Ovis aries: one gene and its partner. Each later gene encodes a partner of the first gene's protein in a complex. Links are inferred from orthologs where the notes say so. Each region holds a gene or a part of one and is shown on either strand. Other genes may lie near its edges. The genes, in order: CFAP36 and ARL3.

What was found.
Region 2: the proteins of CFAP36 (region 1) and ARL3 are in contact, whole or in part, in a crystal structure (PDB 4ZI3), measured with the Mus musculus proteins. The link is inferred for Ovis aries from reciprocal best matches to the Homo sapiens genes CFAP36 and ARL3. Residues at the interface, in NP_080016.1 of Mus musculus: Glu44, Glu45, Ser46, Lys47, Leu48, Thr51, Glu52, Lys58, Val61, Glu62, Leu65, Glu76, Phe79, Gln80, Cys83, Thr84, Ala88, Lys89, Leu97, Val100, Leu101, Ala103, Glu104, Asp105, Phe106, Thr107, Ile108; in NP_062692.1 of Mus musculus: Leu3, Leu4, Ile6, Leu7, Arg8, Lys9, Leu10, Lys11, Ser12, Arg19, Lys35, Glu40, Pro47, Thr48, Gln49, Gly50, Phe51, Asn52, Ile53, Lys54, Trp66, Ile74, Tyr77, Ser80, Tyr81.

The regions. Positions count from the first base shown.
Region 1 is NC_056056.1:68,550,771-68,555,366, forward strand, and holds the start of CFAP36 (cilia- and flagella-associated protein 36), read right to left. Parts: upstream 2,921-4,596; 5' UTR 2,778-2,920; coding exon 2,663-2,777; intron 1-2,662. UniProt on the Homo sapiens protein: May act as an effector for ARL3.
Region 2 is NC_056075.1:23,056,727-23,061,053, reverse strand, and holds the start of ARL3 (ADP-ribosylation factor-like protein 3), read left to right. Parts: upstream 1-1,223; 5' UTR 1,224-1,242; coding exon 1,243-1,245; intron 1,246-4,327. UniProt on the Homo sapiens protein: Small GTP-binding protein which cycles between an inactive GDP-bound and an active GTP-bound form, and the rate of cycling is regulated by guanine nucleotide exchange factors (GEF) and GTPase-activating proteins (GAP).

The DNA of each region.
Region 1 (4,596 bases):
TTATTTACAAACTTTAAATGGAACATTATTGGTAAGTTTCTAAATAATTCCTTTCACAACAGGTTCCAGATTATTTTACCATATTGGAATTTTGCTGATCCAAATTTTACTGAAACTGACTCTTTCTTTATTACATATAAATCAATAATGAAACAAAAATGAATAAAAACAAATGTTTACTCAATGATGATATGTGTGAAACAATGTAGATCAGAAAGATATATATTCCTTCAAAAAGCTACAATGTGATCAAGGAAAAGACAAATTCATGAACTGTAAACCATAAGCCACCTCTAAAAAAAATTCCCCCATTCTTTCTAAAATACAAAACTAACATTGGTAATTTTCTATTTAAAACTCTTCAGTTCTTTGCCTAGCGAATAAGTATAGAATATTTAGAATCCCAGACAAAATTCTTCAAGATTGGATCCCAAGTCTCATCTCCCACCACTCCAAAACCCAAACTTTGCCCTCATAACAGGACACAATTACTTGGAATGTGGACAAATGTAAAAACATAGAAGGTGCTTCAAAGCCCCAGGTCTTTGCTCAAGCCCTTCTTGGATCTCTTTGCCTTTACCCAATACCTCTTCTCCCAACCATTCTTCAAAATACTGTAAGAGGCACATTCTCCATGATCTGCTGCTGCTGCTGCTAAGTCACTTCAGTGGTATCCAACTCTGTGGGACCCCACAGACAGCAGCCCACCAGGCTCCCCTGTCCCTGGGATTCTCCAGGCAAGAACACTAGAGTGAGGTGCCATTGCCTTCTCCGCCATGATCTGCTACCCACTCCCAACTCCCTTGGCTATTCAGATTCCTTCCTCAGAACTATTTGAATACACAGCACCATACGTCCACCTTTATAATAACATCTGGTCACACTATATTTAAAGTCCATTTACCTGCTTGTCTTCCCCACCAAATTATAAACTTCTCAAGGACAAAGATTTGTTTTATTAACTTTTCTAACCTCAACTTCTGGCTCAAAGACACTCAATAAATGTTGAAATAAATGCTGATATTTACAAAGTTATATAAAACTAATTTTTAAATTACCTAAGGTGAAGAATACCTCATTAACAAAACAAAGTCAGTGAAATATAAACACTATTATTTCAAGTGCCACTGAAATGTTACTTCCATTTCTCGTGGCATCTATTTCTACATAGCACTGGGCATACATGCAATATAGCAGCTAATAAACCTGTTTTCAGATAATTTTGAAGCCAAATTACTACATTACATGTTTACAAGTCTGAAGATTACTATTTCCCTATAAAATTACACAATCAGGTGTGTTATAGCTGAGATGCAGCCACTTTTAAAGTGTGGGAATAAAAATTTTTTATTTTATTTTTTTTTTTTTTTTTTTGCCATTTCAGCATTTAGGTTCAGTGGGATAAGTGGAATCAAACGGTGACATAATTTCTTTTTTCTCCTAAAGGAGATCAGAACACCACATGCTTCCTCAGTCTCAGAATAGCATTTTAAATTCTTTAATAGAGCAGAAATAAAAGTTATTTTGAACTTCTTTTAAAAATTACCTGCGAGAACAATACCTAGTAAATACTATTTGAATGTTGCTCATGGCAATGAGAATGTAATGAAAAGATTCAGTGGTCAAAGTAAATTTCATCTTTACCAGATTCATGGAAACTTAAGGTTGAAAGGACTCTTAACAGATCATTCATGATAACCAACCATTTGACATTTGAATTCCCCTCTGTAATAACTCCATTAAGGTGCTATCAGATTCATTCAAAACACTGCTAAGGCCTAGGGAACTCATTACCTTCCGAGACGGGCGATTTATCCAGGATACTATCTGTTATGAAGCACTTCCTTCACAGAAATTTGTTTACCTCTAGCTTGTACCCACGGACGCTAGCTCTAGCCCACTGAACCTTAAAAAAAACAAGTCTAACCCCTCCAACATACGACAGACGTTCGAACGATTAATGGATATTACTACCCTTAAGGTCTTGGCCAGCTAAACAACCAGGACAACAGCCTTAAATTACTCTTATGACATCGCTTCTGGTTCCTTTTCCATAAATGGGCTCCAAACTATCTCTAAGAACTGAATGCAAAGCTCCAGAATCTGGAGGTACTCTTTCCTCACAGGGAACGTTATGCCACGTCTTCATATCTCATTTGTTGGAAGATACCCTCCATTTTTGGTATAACCGAGACAGAGAGCTCAAAAAGGGCAATACAGGCCACCGAGATTACCTGCTCTAGGCCTACCGGAGTAACCACATATCCCTCGCCCACCCACTTTTTGGCCAACAGTTGGAATCAGAAGGAACTCTGAAGCAAACTGACATCTCTCCTCCCAAGTCACTGTGGAAGCTGATGAAGAAAGAAACCCACAGTCACCTGGCCAAGGCAGAAAGGTGCAGGATGGAGTGGGAGGCCCAACACAGCATTAAAGTCTACTGTTTCTCGAATGCGTGCTTGGGCCCAGCGGGGAGAGGTATGTCGTCCCCCTTTTCATTACCGTGGAAAAGACAGGCGCGGTGACAGCAACACAGTCTAAAAATCAAGCTCTAAACCTGGTCGACAGGAGGGGAGATCGAGGAGATGAGAGGCGGTGTGTGGAGAGGCTGTTGGTGTGAGAGAGGTGAGCAAGGACTGACGATTCGAGATTCATATTTTACCTTCACATTTCTGCTCCACGAAGTCCAAGATGGGGATGGACCAGTCCGGGCCCCGCAGGAATCCCGCGATGCTCTCCACCACCCATTCCACCTCATCCTCTTCTTCCGCAGCCATTCCGCCCCCGCGGGGCGCCGCGGAAGCCTAGGCCAGATCCCCGGATCCTAGAAGGCCTTTCGGCCGCAAGGAACCGAGAGGACAGGGAAACGATGTGCCCCAGCAGTCTCCGCAGTCACCTGGCTAAAATCTACAAACCACTTAACGTAAAACGGTCGCTATGGCAACAAGAGGAGCCGCCTCCGCCAGCCGCCCGGAAGTGAAGCCAGCTTCCTCAGAGCCTGCGCAGCTTAGAAAGTGGCATTTGAAGAATGTTTCCGATTGGCTGGGAAGGAGTAGAAGCCAGTCGAAAGATAGCCTTCATCTCATTGGCCCGGAGCTGTTGTAGCCATTGGCTGGAAATCCTGGAAGGAATCTCAATGTTCTCACGGGAGAAGTCCGTGGGACCAAGGATAAGAAATGGTGCCACGAAGGCCCGCCTCACCTGGTCTCTGACTGAAGGTTTTAAAGGCTTCAGTTCACGGTTGTATCCCCACCGCTCACTCCCGACCATTTTCCGACCCGCTGAGCCAGACACGTTTGTAATTGAAAGGTTGATTTTTGAAAATACAAACCCGAGGAAAGCAGTTTCTGTAAGATTTGCTGATTGTCCCAGCGCCAGTTTGCATCCCGTAGCTGCCAGCGAGTCTTTACGGCGTCAGTCAGTTCAGCTCAGTCGCTCAGTCGTGTCCGACTCTTTGCGACTCCATGAATCGCAGCACGCCAGGCCTCCCTGTCCATCACCAACTCCCGGAGTTCACTCAGACTCACGTCCATCGAGTCAGTGATGCCATCCAGCCATCTCGTCCTCTGTCGTCCCCTTCTCCTCCTGCCCCCAATCCCTCCCAACATCAGTCTTTTCCAGTGAGTCAACTCTTCGCATGAGGTGGCCAAAGTACTGGAGTTTCAGCCTCAGCATCATTCCTTCCAAAGAAATCCCAGGGCTGATCTCCTTTAGAATGGACTAGTTGGATCTCCTTGCAGTCCAAGGGACTCTCAAGAGTCTTCTCCAACACCACAGTTCAAAAGCATCAATTCTTCGTTGCTCAGCCTTCTTCACAGTCCAACTCTCACATCCATACATGACTACTGGAAAAACCATAACCTTGACTAGACGGACCTTTGTTGGCAAAGTAATGTCTCTGCTTTTGAATATGCTCTCTAGGTTGGTCATAACTTTCCTTCCAAGGAGTAAGCGTCTTTTAATTTCATGGCTGCAGTCACCATCTGCAGTGATTTTGGAGCCCCCCAAAATAAAGTCTGACACTGTTTCCACTGTTTCCCCATCTATTTCCCGTGAAGTGATGGGACCAGATGCCATGATCTTCGTTTTCTGGATGTTGAGCTTTAAGCCAACTTTTTCACTCTCTTCCTTCACTTTCATCAAGAGGCTTTTAGTTCCTCTTCACTTTCTGCCATAAGGGTGGTGTCATCTGCATATCTGAGGTTCTTGATATTTCTCCCAGCAATCTTGATTCCAGCTTGTGCTTCTTCCAGTCCAGCGTTTCTCATGATGTACTCTGCATATAAGTTAAATAAGCAGGGTGACAACATACATCTTGACTACTCCTTTTCCTATTTGGAACCAGTCTGTTCCATGTCCAGTTCTAACTGTTGCTTCCTGACCCGCATATAGGTTTCTCAAGAGGCAGGTCAGGTGGTCTGGTATTCCCATTTCTTTCAGAATTTTCCACAGTTGATTGTGATCCACACAGTCAAAGGCTTTGGCATAGTCAGTAAAGCAGAAATAGATGTTTTTCTGGATCTCTCTTGCTTTTCCATGATCCAGCGGATGTTGGCAATTTGATCTCTGGTTCCTCTGCCTTTTCTAAAACCAGCT
Region 2 (4,327 bases), on another chromosome or scaffold:
AGTGGTGAAGACTCTGCTTCCACTGCAAGGGCACAGGTTCGATCCCTGCTTGGGAAACAAAGATCCCCACATGCCACGCATGGAGCAGCCAAAAATAATAATTCCTCAAGAGTCAGAAAGTACTGGATTCAGGTCCCCACTCTAACCCTTAAAATAATCAATTTCTAGGGCTGTGAGAATGAAGTGAAATCTTGTATGAAAACCATCTCACTAGGAAGGATGTGATTTCCATGAGGGCCGATTTAGCCCCCTGCTGTGTCTCCAGAGTCTAGACTAAGAGCTGGCACAAATATGGTAATTCTTCTCTGCATGGGGAAGGGGTGGGAAATAGCACCCACAATCTCTCTCATTCTTTCTTGTCTAGAAGTGGAGGCCCATTTTTGCCTCCTTCAGGGCTGCAGACGGCGCACCGACCCTGCCAACTTAGTTCAGCAAAACCATCCATTCCAAACACCTTTCACCCCCGTAAGCGATCACCTCATCCCAGCCCTCACGGCCAGTCCTCAGGCAGCTTCTTGCCCTCCGGTAGGCAGCCTCCCACCACCAGGACTCCTCCAGCCTGGATTCTAACACGGATGTGTGCAGACGAGCGAGCAACCCATGACGCCCCCGCTCCTCAGCCTGGCACACGAAGGTACTGGAGGCCATAAGGGGTCCACAGGTAGCTCCTTCTCTTGCCACGTGGCTTTGGCAGGTGCAAGCCCAGCCCGCGCCGCAGCCTCGCCTGGGCAGAGTCAAGACAGAAATGCAAACTCCCTCCTGGGATCTGGGGAATAAAACCTGGCACAGGTAGATGTTGCAGGAGGCGTCCTCTCAAGATCCTTACCTGGACCCGGGAGAAACAGACTGACACAGCTGCTTCCAGAAGCAGCCCGCTTTGGCAGCCAAGCCAGGATGCACTTCTGGCCTCCGCCCGGGAACCTCCCCTCGCCCCGCCCGCACGCCCTCCCTCTGGACCAATCACAAGCCGGGTGGCCCCCGGCAGCCACGTGGGCGAGGTTTCACCATTCCCCAGGTCTGTGCAGCCCGCCGCCTTCTCCCGCCTCTCCAGCAGCCCGCCTGCGCAGTGGGAGGGCACATTGACGCGCTTGCGCACATTGGGGAAAGCGGAGCTGGACCCCGCCCCGTTCTGCTGCTTTGCTCCTCTGCCGTGCGTACGGGGGACGTCGGGGGCGGCGCCGTCGCAGTTGCCCCTGGTAACGGGGGAGGCAGGAGGAGGAGGAGGAGGGACTCGGCGGGAGGATGGTGAGTGTGAGGGCCTGGGTCCCTCCGGAGCTGGTCGGTCACCTGCTTCCCTTCCCCTGGCCCAAGGCAGGGCACTGCGCTTAAAGACAGGAGGGAACGGACTGGCGCTCAGCCTGATGTCCGGGTCCTGGATTGGTTTCGGGGGGCGGCAGGGAGTCCCGAGTGTGGGCCCTGGAGAGAATCTGGGCCTGGGGAGGAAGGCGGAGCTTGCAACCTGTCCGAAACTAGGGGAAGGGGCTGGAAGGGTGCTGGGTTGTCGCGGTACGGAGCCAGGGCTCCATCATTACTCTGGGGATTGGGATGAGGGCGGATCCGAGGAGCTGCGGAGAGCAGCTTCTGCACGCAGGATTAAATCTTCCCAAGGAATCGGCCTCCCAGTGCCGCAGGAGAGTGGGGTTCACCAGTGCCCGGCTAGAAGCGGGGAGAAGGGCCAGCGCTGCTGTCTTTGAGGTCGCGCTGGCGGTACCAGGGGAGATGGTAGCCTAGCTCTCCTGTTCCTCGCGGTGTGAGGGCCTCTGGGGGGTAAGGGTGTAAATCCCCGGACACAAAGAGGTGCCGCTTGGAAGGGATGTCTGGTGTATTTTAAGCCGTCTCGGTGTCTGAGTGGCGGGCGCGCTTCTGCAGTCCCGAGTTTTTTATTTCCTGAGGGTTCTGCAAGGTCTGGTTGTTGGTGATAGCCAGTCTCCTGTTCAATACGTGTTGGTGGAGACAGATTTGCTGCCCGATCCTTAGTATTTACTTCGGACCTGTTGCCACCTTCCTTTGCATATGACCACACCAGAAGCAAAGGCCTTAGTCTCAGTTTGGAGTAGATTAAAAAAGGAGAGTGGCCATCAGTTTGGGGCTAGCCTTGTCTCTGTCAGGCCAGAATAAAGCTTTCCCAAATACGTAAATTATGTGACGTATTTGACGCTTGACACTGTTCCTTGTTGATTTCTCTGCACTTAATTGGAGGGTATTAAAATGAAATTGAGTGGTTTTAAAACTAGTGGGAGAAACAATTTATTTCGGAGCGTTTGGAGCAGGCTGATAAATTTACCAGCTGCAGAAAGCTAGCACTCAAGCTTACAGTTCCTTCCCTGTCCCAACTCCAGTCCCTTTTTGACTTTTAGAACTGTTGAACCACTTCTATTGATTTATGAAGTAAGAAAAAGCTAGATGTCCAGAAGGAAAAAAAAAAACACATGTACATTTGGTTAGATTATCCAGTGAGTAAATTTTGATAGGAAAAATTTATTTCAATTGATTTAAAATTGTCACATTGTTAAAGAAGTAGCATTATTGGATCTGAAGTTGCCAATCACATTTCAACACTTGCTACACTGCAGTTTTATTAACCTCAGGCTAAACAGATTTTTAAATGTTTGCTTTTTATTAATCGTTTATACATGAGCTGTCCATTTAAAGGCTAAGTTTTTCTCAACAAATGAGTACAAACATAAATATTTACACAGAAAATAACTAGAATTGAAATGAAAAAGGCATGCCAAACCAACAGAGAAAGGCATGGCATCATAAAGGAGAAACGCATGAGAGCGGGCTAACTTTTCCCAGTTTGTTTATCAGTGAAGTGGACTGTGTAATTTCATGACTGTTTAATTTATAATTACAAGCCACAATAAATTAACCACTGTTTATGTTTCCAGGTACAGATTGACACTTTATACAACAAATTGACAGTGTACACAACACTATTGTATACAACTGTTGTATTCAGTGATCAAGACAGATTTTGTTTTTCTTTTTTTAATTTTTTTTCCTACAATAAATAATAAGGAATTAGGGCAGATTATTCAGGAGTCTTCATCTGGTTTCCAAAATACACTTTTTTTCTATCTCCAAAAGTATGAGCTATTTTTAGAACTCGATAAGTGGAACACGGAATTTAAAGGGTCAGTGGTATGATTAAGTATGTCATATCTGATACCCATGGGTCCCCATAGTAACTCTTCAGGAGTTCCAGGTTTATTTATTGTCTTAATCCTTCAGCTATGACTAATACATATTTATTCTTTTAAAATTTGGAATACAGCAACAAAAACACATTATTGATTTCTCTGAACCCCTAGAAGTTCAGCTATTTTACCCCTACCTTAGGATGCCAAGTCCTTGGTGAAATACTAAATTGACCGTAATTTTTGTGCATAACTAATCACTCTTGCCTGGAAAATCCCATGGACGGAGGAGCCTGGTGGGCTGCCATCTATGGGGTCGCACAGAGTCGGACACGACTGAAGCGACTTAGCAACAGCAGCAATCACTGTTAGGAGAAGGCAATGGCATCCCACTCCAGTACTCTTGCCTGGAAAATCCCATGGACAGAGGAGCCTGGTAGGCTATAGTCCATGGGGTCGCTAAGAGTCAGACACGACTGAGCGACTTCACTTTCTCTTTTCACCTTCATGCATTGGAGAAGGAAATGGCAACCCACTCCAGAGTTCTTACCTGGAGAATCCCAGGGACGGGGGAGCCTGGTGGGCTGCGGTCTATGGGGTCGCACAGAGTAGGACACGACTGAAGCGACTTAGCAGCAGCAGCAGCAATCACTGTTATTTAATAGATGAGTCCTCCATTCAGGAATTATTTATGGAGTAATTTCTGAATATATAAAGCTAGTGATATTTATCAAGCATGTTTGACATTTGAAGATTGTTCCCAAGATTATGTTTTCTGGTCAAAAATGGTCGGTGAAAAGTAGAAACATAAACACAACAACTGTTTTGAGTTCCCTCTATGTGCATGCTTCACACATCATCTGATTTAATCTTCATAGCATTCTTCTTGAGATATAAGTATTGTTCCCATTTTCTAGATGAAACTATGCTGGAGGTTACCCATCAGGATGTTGAATAAAAGTCTGTGAAACTCTAAAGCCCATAATGTATTTTTCATTAAGACTCTGATGAAGTAAGAACCCACTCCAGCTGAGGAGATGCCAGTATTTTGTTCCTCAGGGAACATTGTATTTATTTAGTAGAGAGATGAGAAAAAAGATTTGGGTGAAGTTCTCCCTAACAAAGCTATAGGAGTTCCTGGAAATTAACAAGCCCTCATTGGGCAGCACCAATGTTTTTTTGGTGAG